Linked DNA regions of Macaca mulatta. The protein of the gene in region 1 purifies or fractionates together with the protein of each later gene. This does not show direct contact. Links are inferred from orthologs where the notes say so. Each region holds a gene or a part of one and is shown in the gene's direction. Other genes may lie near its edges.

Region 1 (4,072 bases):
ACACTTCAGCCTGGGCGACAGAGCAAGGCTCTATCTCAAAAAAAAGAAAAAGAAATGAGGCTGGAGCAGTTGGGTGAGAGGTGGGGTGGTAAGGAGACAGCCCGAAGGGCAGGTGCTATGTGGCTGTCGATCGGTGTGTACATGTGACCTCGGAGCACCAGGAGGTGATTGCAGGTGACACCTGAGGACTGGAGATCCCTCCCATGCAGCAGACAGGGTGGGATTTGGCCTGCAGCTCGCTCTGCTGGTCCCCACTGTGCTGTTTCTGTAGGAAACAGGTGAGCAGATTGCCATCAAGCAGTGCCGGCAGGAGCTCAGCCCCCGGAATCGAGAGCGGTGGTGCCTGGAGATCCAGATCATGAGAAGGTGAGGGCCTTGTGCACCCCAAGGGAAAGCTGGAGCAGCAGCCCCCCGTGTGTCTAGAAAGGAGAGTCTTGCTGGGCACGGTGGCTCACGCCTGTAATCCCAGCACTTTGGGAGGCTGAGGCAGGTGGATCACGAGGTAAGGAGATTGAGACCATCCTGGCTAACACAATGAAACCCCATCTCTACTAAAAATACCAAAAATTAGCCAGGCTTGGTAGTGGGTGCCTGTAGTCTCAGCTACTTGGGTGGCTGAGGCAGGAGAATGATGTGAACCCGGGAGGCGGAGCTTGCAGTGAGCCAGGATCGCGCCACTGCACCCCAGCCTGGGCGACAGAGCGAGACTCCGTCTAATTTAAAAAAAAAAAAAAAAAGAAGAGGAGAGTCTTAAATCTCTGCCCCTCCATCAGGGCGCCAGCCCGACAGTCTCCACGGTGACTCTGCTGCTTCTAAAGATGCCAGAGGAAGAGCAGCTAAAGTCCACACTGGGCCTTGTCGGGGACTTTTCATCAGTTTCATTATATTAAATAAGTTAACACAGTTATCACAGTGACTTTTCCTTTGTCAGCAAAAAAAAAGCCTTCTTTCCTCCTGTATTTCCAGTTCCAAGGTGGTACATGACCGTTCTCTGCTGTCATGCTGCCGCTGACATTTATTCCTCTAGTGTGGAGACTGGGCCGTCCATCTGCCCGGTGGCTGCTGACCCCCTAGCTAGTGAGGTGGGCTCCGAAAGAGCCAGCGAGGAGGACACCAAGCAGGGGCTCCTCTGCCAGCCTCTTAAAAAGAGGAAGTGCCATTTGGTTACATCATGGTTCTATCTGGTTACACATGAGTTCCTTCTCAGATCCCTCTCTGTGTGTCCACCTTGGGGTGATGTGTGTGGGTGAATCAACCTGCCGAAAAATAAACAGAGAAAAGAAAAAAAATACGAGAACAAAAAGAGCAGGCACCACCTTGTTTGCCTGCTTGCATGTGTGACACATCCCCCCCATGTGGAGGGCATGAGATTGGAAGGTCTTCAAAGGAGCAGTTTGGCAGCACGATGAGGACTTGGGATGTAGCACGCACAGAAAATGGAAGTTACACGGAGTGTGCCCTCAGGGTCTGAGTTCTGGTGCTGCGGGTGGGGCTGGGTGCACGCCACTGACCGGGGCATTGCAGTTGGCCACCCGTACTGGGCTCTGTCTTCCTCTGTTTCGAAGCCCTGGGTTATCCTGGGCCTTTGTTGCTGAGACCTGATGGGGGTGATAGGGATGGGTCTGGGCAGGAGTCTGGCTCTGCTCTCATCGGTTTTCCTCCTTCCTAGGCTGACGCACCCCAATGTGGTGGCAGCCCGAGATGTCCCTGAGGGGATGCAGAACTTGGCGCCCAATGACTTGCCCCTGCTGGCCATGGAGTATTGCCAAGGAGGAGATCTCCGGAAGGTGAGGCTCCCGCGGCTGCCAGGCATACAGCCTGTCTGGGCAGGTGGGACACCAGGAAGGGGGATGGGAAGACCTTTCACTTCTGTCATCATCAGGAAGCTTGGGGACCCCCAGCAACTCCAGCAGGGCTGCTTTGCCTCTCAGATCCTCTGTTCCCTGCCCACCTGGGGCTGGTGTGTGTGTAAGTCAGAGGCACTTCCGAGAACACCAGGGAAGGGGGAAGGGCGTGCTGCACACTCTGCTGGGATTATTCCAATGACAAGGAAAACTCATCACAGGTTTGGGCGTGGGGAAGGACTGGGCAAGTTCCAAAACAAATGCTTCCTCCCTGGGCGTGTTAGGGCCACGTTAGGCCTTTGGTGCCAGCGCCACTGCTCTCCTTATTAGGAGGGATCTTATTCCAGAGATGGGACAGCACCACACATGGGGGCAGGGAGCATAGAAGAGAGGGAGTGGGATTCATGATCAGAGAGCTGGGCCAGGGCTGCAGACCTGCCCCAACCCATCCGACCCACCCAACCCACCTGACCCACCTGGACTCATCTGTGGGGCTCTGCTCTCCACCTTCTCACCACACCACCTCCTGTTCCCTAGAGTGTTCACTTCTGGTGGGTGGATGGCAGCCCCTTCTGGTCTCAGGGGCAGTTGGGTGCCCTCCTCCCCGTTGTTCCCTATGATAGTACCACATAGCCTGCTAGTACATGTTACCTCATTCGATTTCCAACAGCTCACACATGAGTGCACAGGTATGGTTCCCACATCACGGGTGGATATCACAGCCCAGAGAGGTTGGGCCTCACACAGCTGTAGCAACAGAGACTGGGTCCCAGTCCACACAGACCTAGCCGCAGGCCACCTCTCCATCTCTAAGACTGAATAAGGCCATATAACATGATAACTGGAAGCTCTGAACAAAATATATTTTTTTTTTGAGACAGAGTCTCGCTCTATTGCCCAGGCTGGAGTGCAGTGGCGTGATCTCGACTCACTGCAGCCTCCGCCTCCTGGGTCCAAGCGATTCTCCTGCCTCAGCCTCCCGAGTAGCTGGGATTATAGGTGCCCGCCCCCATGCCCAGCTAACTTTTGTATTTTTGGTAGAGGCAGGGTTTCGCCATACCAGCCAGGCTGGTCTCGAACTCCTGACCTCAAATGATCACCCACCTCAGCCTCCCAAAGTGCTGGGATTACAGGTGTGAGCCACTGCGCCCAGCCAAAAAAATTTTTATTTTAATTGAAAACGAGGTCGGTTACTCTGCGAGTGCACCTCTTTACTTTGGAAGGGTCACAATAGTGAGGGTGGGAGCCCAGGCGTTTATTCCCTTTCAGTGGCTATTCCCAGACACACTTCAGGTGCTACTCTTACTGTTCCTCCAGGCCCTTGTGCCTCTTAAAAAAAAAACAAAAGCTTTCCACTTTGGGAAGCTGAGACAGGAGGATAGCTTGAGGCCAGGAGTTTGAGACCAGCCTGGGCAACATACCAAGGCCCTATCTCCTCAAAAAATAAAAAACGAAAAATTAGCCAGGTGTGGTAGTGTGCGCTTGTAGTCCCCACTATTTCGGAGGCTGGACTGGGAGGATGGCTTGAGCCTGGGAGGTTGAGGCTACAGGGAGCTATGATTGCGCCACTGCATGCCAGCCTAGGCGACAGAGCAAGACTCAGTCTCATGAAAAAAGATAATCCTGTCTCAGAAGAAATAGACAGATAAATAAAATAAAAGGAAACTTGCCGTGGGCTTGGCCTGCCAGAGTGGCTCTCCCTGGAGATAGGCATGTCCTGGGAGTGGCACTCACAGCAGGATATGAACACAGCCCTTGGCATGACCCACAGTGAGAGATGGGGGAACTTGACAGCACTTTGATTTTTTCCTTATTTTTCTAACCTTTGACAGTCACCCATTACTGACTGCAGCTGTGTAGAGATAAAGCCATGTTGTAGTCAAGTGGAGACTTCCCAGAGGGCAGCCTGGAAGTAGGTGGGATGTGGCCAGATTACAGAGGGCTCTGAAGTGAGGCAGAGGCTTTTAGACTTGGTCTTTTAGGTGGCAAAGAGCCAATGAGCCAGAGAAGAAGAGATGGAAAGTTTAACATGACTGACCTGGCGTGGGTTGCAGGATGATTGAGGGGGAGGCAGGAAGGACTCGCATCCTAAGGAACCCCTATCCTTGCTGTCACCCAGTGGGGTTAGGGGAGGACACTGTTGCCCACTGTCTTGTTGTCTGTTGTTTCCTTTGTTCCCTCTAAAAAGTTCAAATCTATAATACATCCGTGGGCAAGGAGAGGCAGGC
Region 2 (3,046 bases), on another chromosome or scaffold:
TGAGGCCAAAACAACTTGATTAAGAACCCAGCTTTCTAATTAACCATGGGATTGGCTATTTTTTTTTTTTTTTTTCTGTAAAGGAACCAGTAGGAAATGTTAGGCCCTGCTGTCTTTGAGGTCTCTCTTGGAACTACTCAACTCTCTTATTGTAGTGCAAAAGCAACCACAGACAATACACACGTGAATGAGCACGGCTGTGTTCCAATAAAAGTTTATTTACAAACACTGGCAGGGAGCCAGATGTGGCCCACAGGCCATAGTTTGCTTTTAAAATACCTAGAACAGAAATTCTGAATGGTCAAGGGCACCTGTGAGAATCTAATGAAACGCGGGATCTACCCCCTACAGAAATATTGACAAAATTTGGAAAGTATGTTGGGAAGTTCTTGGACTGCTGACAATCGACTGGTGGCAATACAAGCCACATTATGGAGGGCTGAGGAAAGAAGGGAGGTTGAAAGGAAAAATGAAATATTTTCTTCCTTATGTTCTGTTTAATGAGGTCGTGTGGGGATTAAGGAATTTTTTTGTGGTTGTTTTACATTTTTGTTTCCTTTTATTATTTTTACGAAGGGCTAAGGGAAAGAACCAGTAGAAGGAGAGAGGTTATGGCTATTTGAGAAGAGGCAATGTCAGTTGGCGGCGGGGTGGAGTAAAGGAGGGGAAGGGTCCAGAAACAGACCTTGAAGAGTAGTTACCTTTGTCTTGAAAGACAAAGAAGGCATTGTAACTGAATGGGTTCACACCTGCTGGACAATTCCTTGATTAAGTAAGAGGAAAGTGAACTGTTGGGCGGGGGTGGTGGTCAGGAGTTGCGTGGCTTTCACTCTGGCCAGATGTAAGTGGAAAATGTCTAAAAGGAACAAAAATGGTGGTTTTTCCCTTTACATCCAGGAACGTCTAATACCAACAGGGTCACGGGCTAAGATTGAATAGAACACCCAACCTGGTAGCCACATAGGGGTTTTGTTCACAGAGCCATCAGCTGTGGTTCAGGGATGTGTCTACTGGGAGGAAGGAATGCCTTATTCTTTTTTATTTGTTTTGTTTTTGAGACCACATCCTGCTCTATGGTCCAGGCTGAAGTACTGTGGCACAATCATGGCTCACTGCAGCCTTGAACTCCTGGGTTCAAGTGATCCTCCTGTCTCAGCCTCCTGAGTAACTGAGGAGTAACTGAGTACAGGCATGTGCCACCATACCCAGCTAATTAAAAAAAAAAATTTTTTTTTATAGAGACAGGGTCTTGCTATGTTGCCCAGGGCTGGTCTAGAACTCTTGGGTTCAAGTGATCTTCCTGCCTTGGCCTCCCAAAGTGTTGGGTTATAGGCATGAGCCACCACGCCAGGCCAGGAATGCCCTATTGTAATTCACATAAAGACTGCTTGTGGGCTAGCAGGCATGTGAAGTGTCTCCAGTGCAGCAACAGCTGTAGAACTAAGAAGTTATCTTTTCCCTGTCTTCTGGTACTCTTCATTTCACTTGGGTTTTTTAGCAGTTCAGGAAGCTGGAATGTTTGAATGGGCTTTAGCTTGACACCTTCTTCTCTTTCCCATTTGGCAGATAATACCACTAGTCTGACCGATAAACACCTGGACCCAATCAGGGAAAATCTGGGAAAGCACTGGAAAAACTGTGCCCGGAAACTGGGCTTCACACAGTCTCAGATTGATGAAATTGACCATGACTATGAGCGAGATGGACTAAAAGAAAAGGTTTACCAGATGCTCCAAAAGTGGGTGATGAGGGAAGGCATTAAGGGAGCCACAGTGGGGAAGCTGGCCCAGGTGCTCCACCAGTGTGCCAGGATCGACCTTCTGAACCACTTGATTTACGTCAGCCAGAACTAACCCTGGATGGGCTATGGCAGCTGAAGCGGACTCCTCACTTAGTGAATAACCCCAGAAAGCTGGCTGCCTCAGAGCATTCAGAATTCTGTCCTCACTGATGGGGGTTCTGTGTCTGCAGAAATATTGTTTCCTGTATTTCATAGCTGGGGAATGGGGAAAGAAGTCTGCAGCAAAGGGGTCTCACTCTGTTGCCCACGCTGGTCTCAAACTTCTGGACTCAAGTTATCCTCCTGCCTCGGCCTCTCACAGTGCTGGGATATCAGGCATGAGCCACTGCGCCCAGGCAACAATCCGCTCCGAGGAAAGCGTAAGCAGGAAGACCTCTTAATGGCCTAGCACCAATCAAAAAATGACTCCTAATTGGGTTTGGAAAGGGAGAGAAGAGATGTCTGAGGAAGGTCATTTGCTTTCAGCTTATGGCATTTCCTAGAATTTTGCTGAAGCAAGAAGAAAAACTCAGAGAACATAAAATCAACTTTTAAAATTGTGTGCTCTCTTCTTCACGTAGGCTCCTGTTATGAACAAAGTACAGTAAAATTCTAAGCCCTGTTCAGAGACTTTTTGAATCACAACTGCAGCTCATTGCCACGTTACAGAGTCTGTTAACATGGCTATCAAATACTGTATCAGTCACTATAGGCTCTAAGAATCACATGCAGTCTTCACTCCATTAAATTATCGATTTTTTAAAAATTAATTGAGTTTATATTCAGTTTTCAAATTAACCGAACAGATTTAAAGGGGTACCAAGGAGGGGGGAAACATCAGATCTCCCAGACAGTTGTTGCAAGGAAATGCTACTAACTGTGACTACAGCAGAAATTCTTGATTGACTTTGAAAGTTACTTCCTGGCATTCTGGTACTTTCACCCAGCCTGGGTGCCCTGGAGAGGGAACAGGAAATGCTGATCTGTACGCCTGGGTGAGAGCAGAACCTCAGGGCTGACACTGTTGAGTGGCTTCCTCGGTTTGCTCTGTACCGTGAAAGTATTTTCATATTTTTCTGTGTGCCAGAGTGAAAAAGGACAACTCCTGACTGTGGGAATTGTGCCTGTAGCACCCAACCTTTCAGAGTCCACCTGAAACCTGGGGGTGGATGAAGGAACTAGAATAGTTCAGAAGACTGAAGCTGGGTGGGCCGCTCAGCGTCTCCACTGGCGTTTTGCTAAACAGACAGGGAAGGCCGTGTGCTT
Region 3 (3,500 bases), on another chromosome or scaffold:
GCAACTGTGTGCATTGAGTTCGTTTTTATACCTGGAAGAACCTGTTTACAGAATTATATAAAGCACTGTGCTTTGAAAATACATTTTATGTTTGAACTTAAACCTACATTTTTCTGTGTGAGTTATATAGCAGAAAGGAAATAAATTACATTGAAAGCAGTACATATCTGTGTGGGTGGTGATTGATTTTATTTTGTGAATTTTTAGAAGGCATATAAAGTGTATTATAACATTCCAGGCTTAGAAAAGAATACGTGAAAATTCACTTGACTCAATTTTCTCTTCCAGATTATGGGACATAGAATGTGGTGCATGTTTACGAGTGTTAGAAGGCCATGAGGAATTGGTTCGTTGTATTCGATTTGATAACAAGAGGATAGTCAGTGGGGCCTATGATGGGTGAGTGTGCTAACAGAGTGTAAAAAGAGAAAATCTACGTCTTAATCCTTCCTTATGTTTATGGTGTTAAACATTACCATTCCTTGTTTCTAAAGCTTATAGATTTTACACAAAGTGATACCATATTTCTTTAATCTGTATATTTACCTCTCCTTGGTTTAGTGTCCTGAAATATTCTTTCCAATCATTTTATTATACTTGTTTGCACATGGTTGTCATTCATATTTTGGTTATTTGGTTATGTATTTCACTGTTTTGCCCTGTAAAGCAAAACAAGAAAAACCCAGTGTTAACAGGCTACCCATGTAAAGTGGTAACCTGTTAACAAAACACAAACACTAGAGGGCAGTATTTGGGGACTTAGTGTGGTAAGATCTCCAATTTTGATCTCTTGGATTCTTTATCTCTTTTAGTAATTTTTAAAAGTACAGTTCTCTTGTCATCACTTGTCATCCTAGCATTTCATTTATGAGTTTAGTCATCTTTATTTTCTTCTAATTTCTAGTGGTTATGGAATCCATTAATGTTGTGAATGGACCCCACGTCCACCAATCCTAAACACAGAGTAAATTCAAACAAAAGTAGGCTGGGCACAGTGGCTTGTGCATGTAATCCCAACACTTTGGGAGACCGAGACAGGCGGATACTTGAGGTCAGGAGTTCAAGACCAGCCTGGCCAACATGGCAAAACCCAGTATCTACTAAAAGTACAAAAATTAGCCAGGTGTGGTTGCAGGTGCCTGTAATCTCAGCTACTCAGGAGACTGAGGCAGGAGAATTGCTTGAACCAGGGAGGCAGAGGTTGCAGTGAGCCAAGATTGCACCACCATGCTCCAGCCTGGGCGACAGAGCAAGACTCCATCTCCAAAAAAAAAAAAAAAAAAAAAAAAGTTATTCACTTACGAAGGACTCCTTATCATTTCTTTTTGTCAAACTGCCTGATTTGGGGGGTGAAGGGTAGAAAGCTACAGTTCAAATATTGGCAACTTTTTAAATATCAGAAACTAACAACATTATTTTAGTTCATGAGCTAACTATACTGATACATTAATTAGCCAATGCAAGCAGCAAGAAGCTGCTCACTTCTTCTGCTTTGGGTCAGCCATCACTGTTACAACCTTGGGAAATTGTTCAGAGTGTGGTGACATGTTCCAGCTTGGTCAAGACAATATTTTCTTATTGCCCTGGCTTTGATCTGTACCCACCTGTCTTGGAATTTGTCTGTTATGTACCTTGAGGAAACATGGCCTATAAAAGGTTGTTGGAAGAGCTACACTTATTTAAATCAAAAGATGAGGGCTTACTTATATAAACTCCATTGCTCTTACATGGACCCCAGTCCCTCAGTACATGTGACCTGGGCCACTCTTAGAAGTGACCAGGAAGAGGATGCCTCAGAGTTGTAGATTTCTAGGTCTATGTAATATCATTAGGAGGTCTAATGTACAAGATCTCCTCTTGATCCCAAAGTGTGGTTTAACTTTACTATTAAATGTCTTCAGTTTGGTTAAAGCTAGCCTGTTTCTCATTTGTAGGTTAATCACGTACATTTCAACTATACTCACCATCCATATTTATTGCCATGAATTTCTGCTGTTCTTCCCTGTGTTCTCTTACTTTTGCTTTTAACTAGCATTTTTGTCCCCTTTTTGATCTTTAGAAAAATTAAAGTGTGGGATCTTGTGGCTGCTTTGGACCCCCGTGCTCCTGCAGGGACACTCTGTCTACGGACCCTTGTGGTAAGAGCCTTGCTGTTAGAGCATTGGAGAGCAGGTGGGGGAAGAAATTAAACATTGATGTGCTGTGGAATATGGATTTGAATTTAATAGTTACAACCTCACAAAACCTACAACTAAGTGGTAAGGCAACCAGTACATGACAATAAAATATGTTTATATAATTCCTTTCATCCAAAAATGCTTTAGAGACTATATATGGAGAGAAATGTGGCAGCTGTTTAACAGCTGCACAGAAACTCTACACAACAGTTTAGTGCAGGAAGTGAATAAGAATTCTGTATCCACCAGAAACAGCAGGGGGTACTAAGGGAGAGAGAATATAATTACTCAAATTGGAACCTGTCCAAAATCTGAGGACCTGTACACCTGTGCCTTCAAAAATTACCCTGGGGGCTGGGTGCGGTGGCTCATGCCTATTATCCCAGCACTTTGGGAGGTCAAAGCGGATGGATCACCTGAGGTCAGGAGTTCAAGACCAGCTTGACCAACATGGTGAAACCCTATCTCTACTGAAAATAAAAACAAATTAGCTGAGCATGGTGGTGAGCGCCTGTAATCCCAGCTACTCGGGAGGCTGAAGCAAGAGAATCGCTTGAACCTGAGAGGCAGAGGTTGCAGTGAGCCGAGATCACGCTTGCACTCCAGCCTGGGCAACAAGAGTGAAACTCGATCTTAAAAAAAAAAAAAAAGTGCTCTGGGAATCTGCATGAACCCCTGCTGGTCAGCCCCTTAGTTCTGCAGCCTATTCATGAGCTAGTGCCTCCAGCAACTTGAACCCATCTTTTTTATTCCCCATATATCCACTTTTGACATTTGGGGAAAAAAGTGATTCAGAAGGAGAAATATCACTTTCAGAAGCACTAAATTCTTTATCATGTTGTTAGCCAGGGGCCCAGATTGATAAATACTGCTTCCATTAGAAAATTAGTTGGAGCAACAGGGTGGACAGAATCTTTTGCAGCACTCAGAGAAAAGATGAGAGCAAGCATTTGAAACCCAGTGTACTAAATCCTGACTGTCAACATTTAGGCATTCTTGGCTCTGGAGAAGAGAAAGAGGTTATATTTCTTGTCTTCCTTGTTGGATTTATGTGTGTATGTATAAGACAGGGTCTTCCTCTGTCACCCAGGCTATAGTGAAGTGGCACAATCATAGCTCACTGCAACCTCCAACTCCTGGACTGAAGCAGTACCCCTGCCTTAGCCCTCGAGTATAGCTGGCATTACAGGCTCTAGCCACAGCACCGTTTTAATTTTTGTGGAGACAGGGTCTCACTATGTTGCCCAGGCTGGTCTTAAACTCCTGGCCTCAAGCGATCCTCCTGCCTTAGCCTCCCAAAGTGCTGAGATTACAAGTGTGAGC

Evidence for each region. Proteins that work in one complex are often made in the same cells at the same time.
Region 2: the proteins of IKBKB (region 1) and RIPK1 fractionate together in Homo sapiens (co-fractionation; 3 studies listed by BioGRID, with this or other methods). This does not show direct contact. The link is inferred for Macaca mulatta from reciprocal best matches to the Homo sapiens genes IKBKB and RIPK1.
Region 3: the proteins of IKBKB (region 1) and BTRC purify together in Homo sapiens (affinity purification with western blotting; 3 studies listed by BioGRID). This does not show direct contact. The link is inferred for Macaca mulatta from reciprocal best matches to the Homo sapiens genes IKBKB and BTRC.

Annotation. Positions count from the first base shown.
Region 1 is NC_133413.1:44,370,593-44,374,664, forward strand, and holds the start of IKBKB (inhibitor of nuclear factor kappa-B kinase subunit beta), read left to right. Parts: upstream 1-1,272; 5' UTR 1,273-1,436; coding exon 1,437-1,465; intron 1,466-1,669; coding exon 1,670-1,787; intron 1,788-4,072.
Region 2 is NC_133409.1:180,151,694-180,154,739, reverse strand, and holds the end of RIPK1 (receptor-interacting serine/threonine-protein kinase 1), read left to right. Parts: intron 1-1,566; coding exon 1,567-1,853; 3' UTR 1,854-2,546; downstream 2,547-3,046. UniProt on the Homo sapiens protein: Serine-threonine kinase which is a key regulator of TNF-mediated apoptosis, necroptosis and inflammatory pathways.
Region 3 is NC_133414.1:113,608,823-113,612,322, forward strand, and holds part of BTRC (F-box/WD repeat-containing protein 1A), read left to right. Parts: intron 1-288; coding exon 289-399; intron 400-2,059; coding exon 2,060-2,138; intron 2,139-2,798; exon of another isoform or gene 2,799-3,500. UniProt on the Homo sapiens protein: Substrate recognition component of a SCF (SKP1-CUL1-F-box protein) E3 ubiquitin-protein ligase complex which mediates the ubiquitination and subsequent proteasomal degradation of target proteins. Recognizes and binds to phosphorylated target proteins.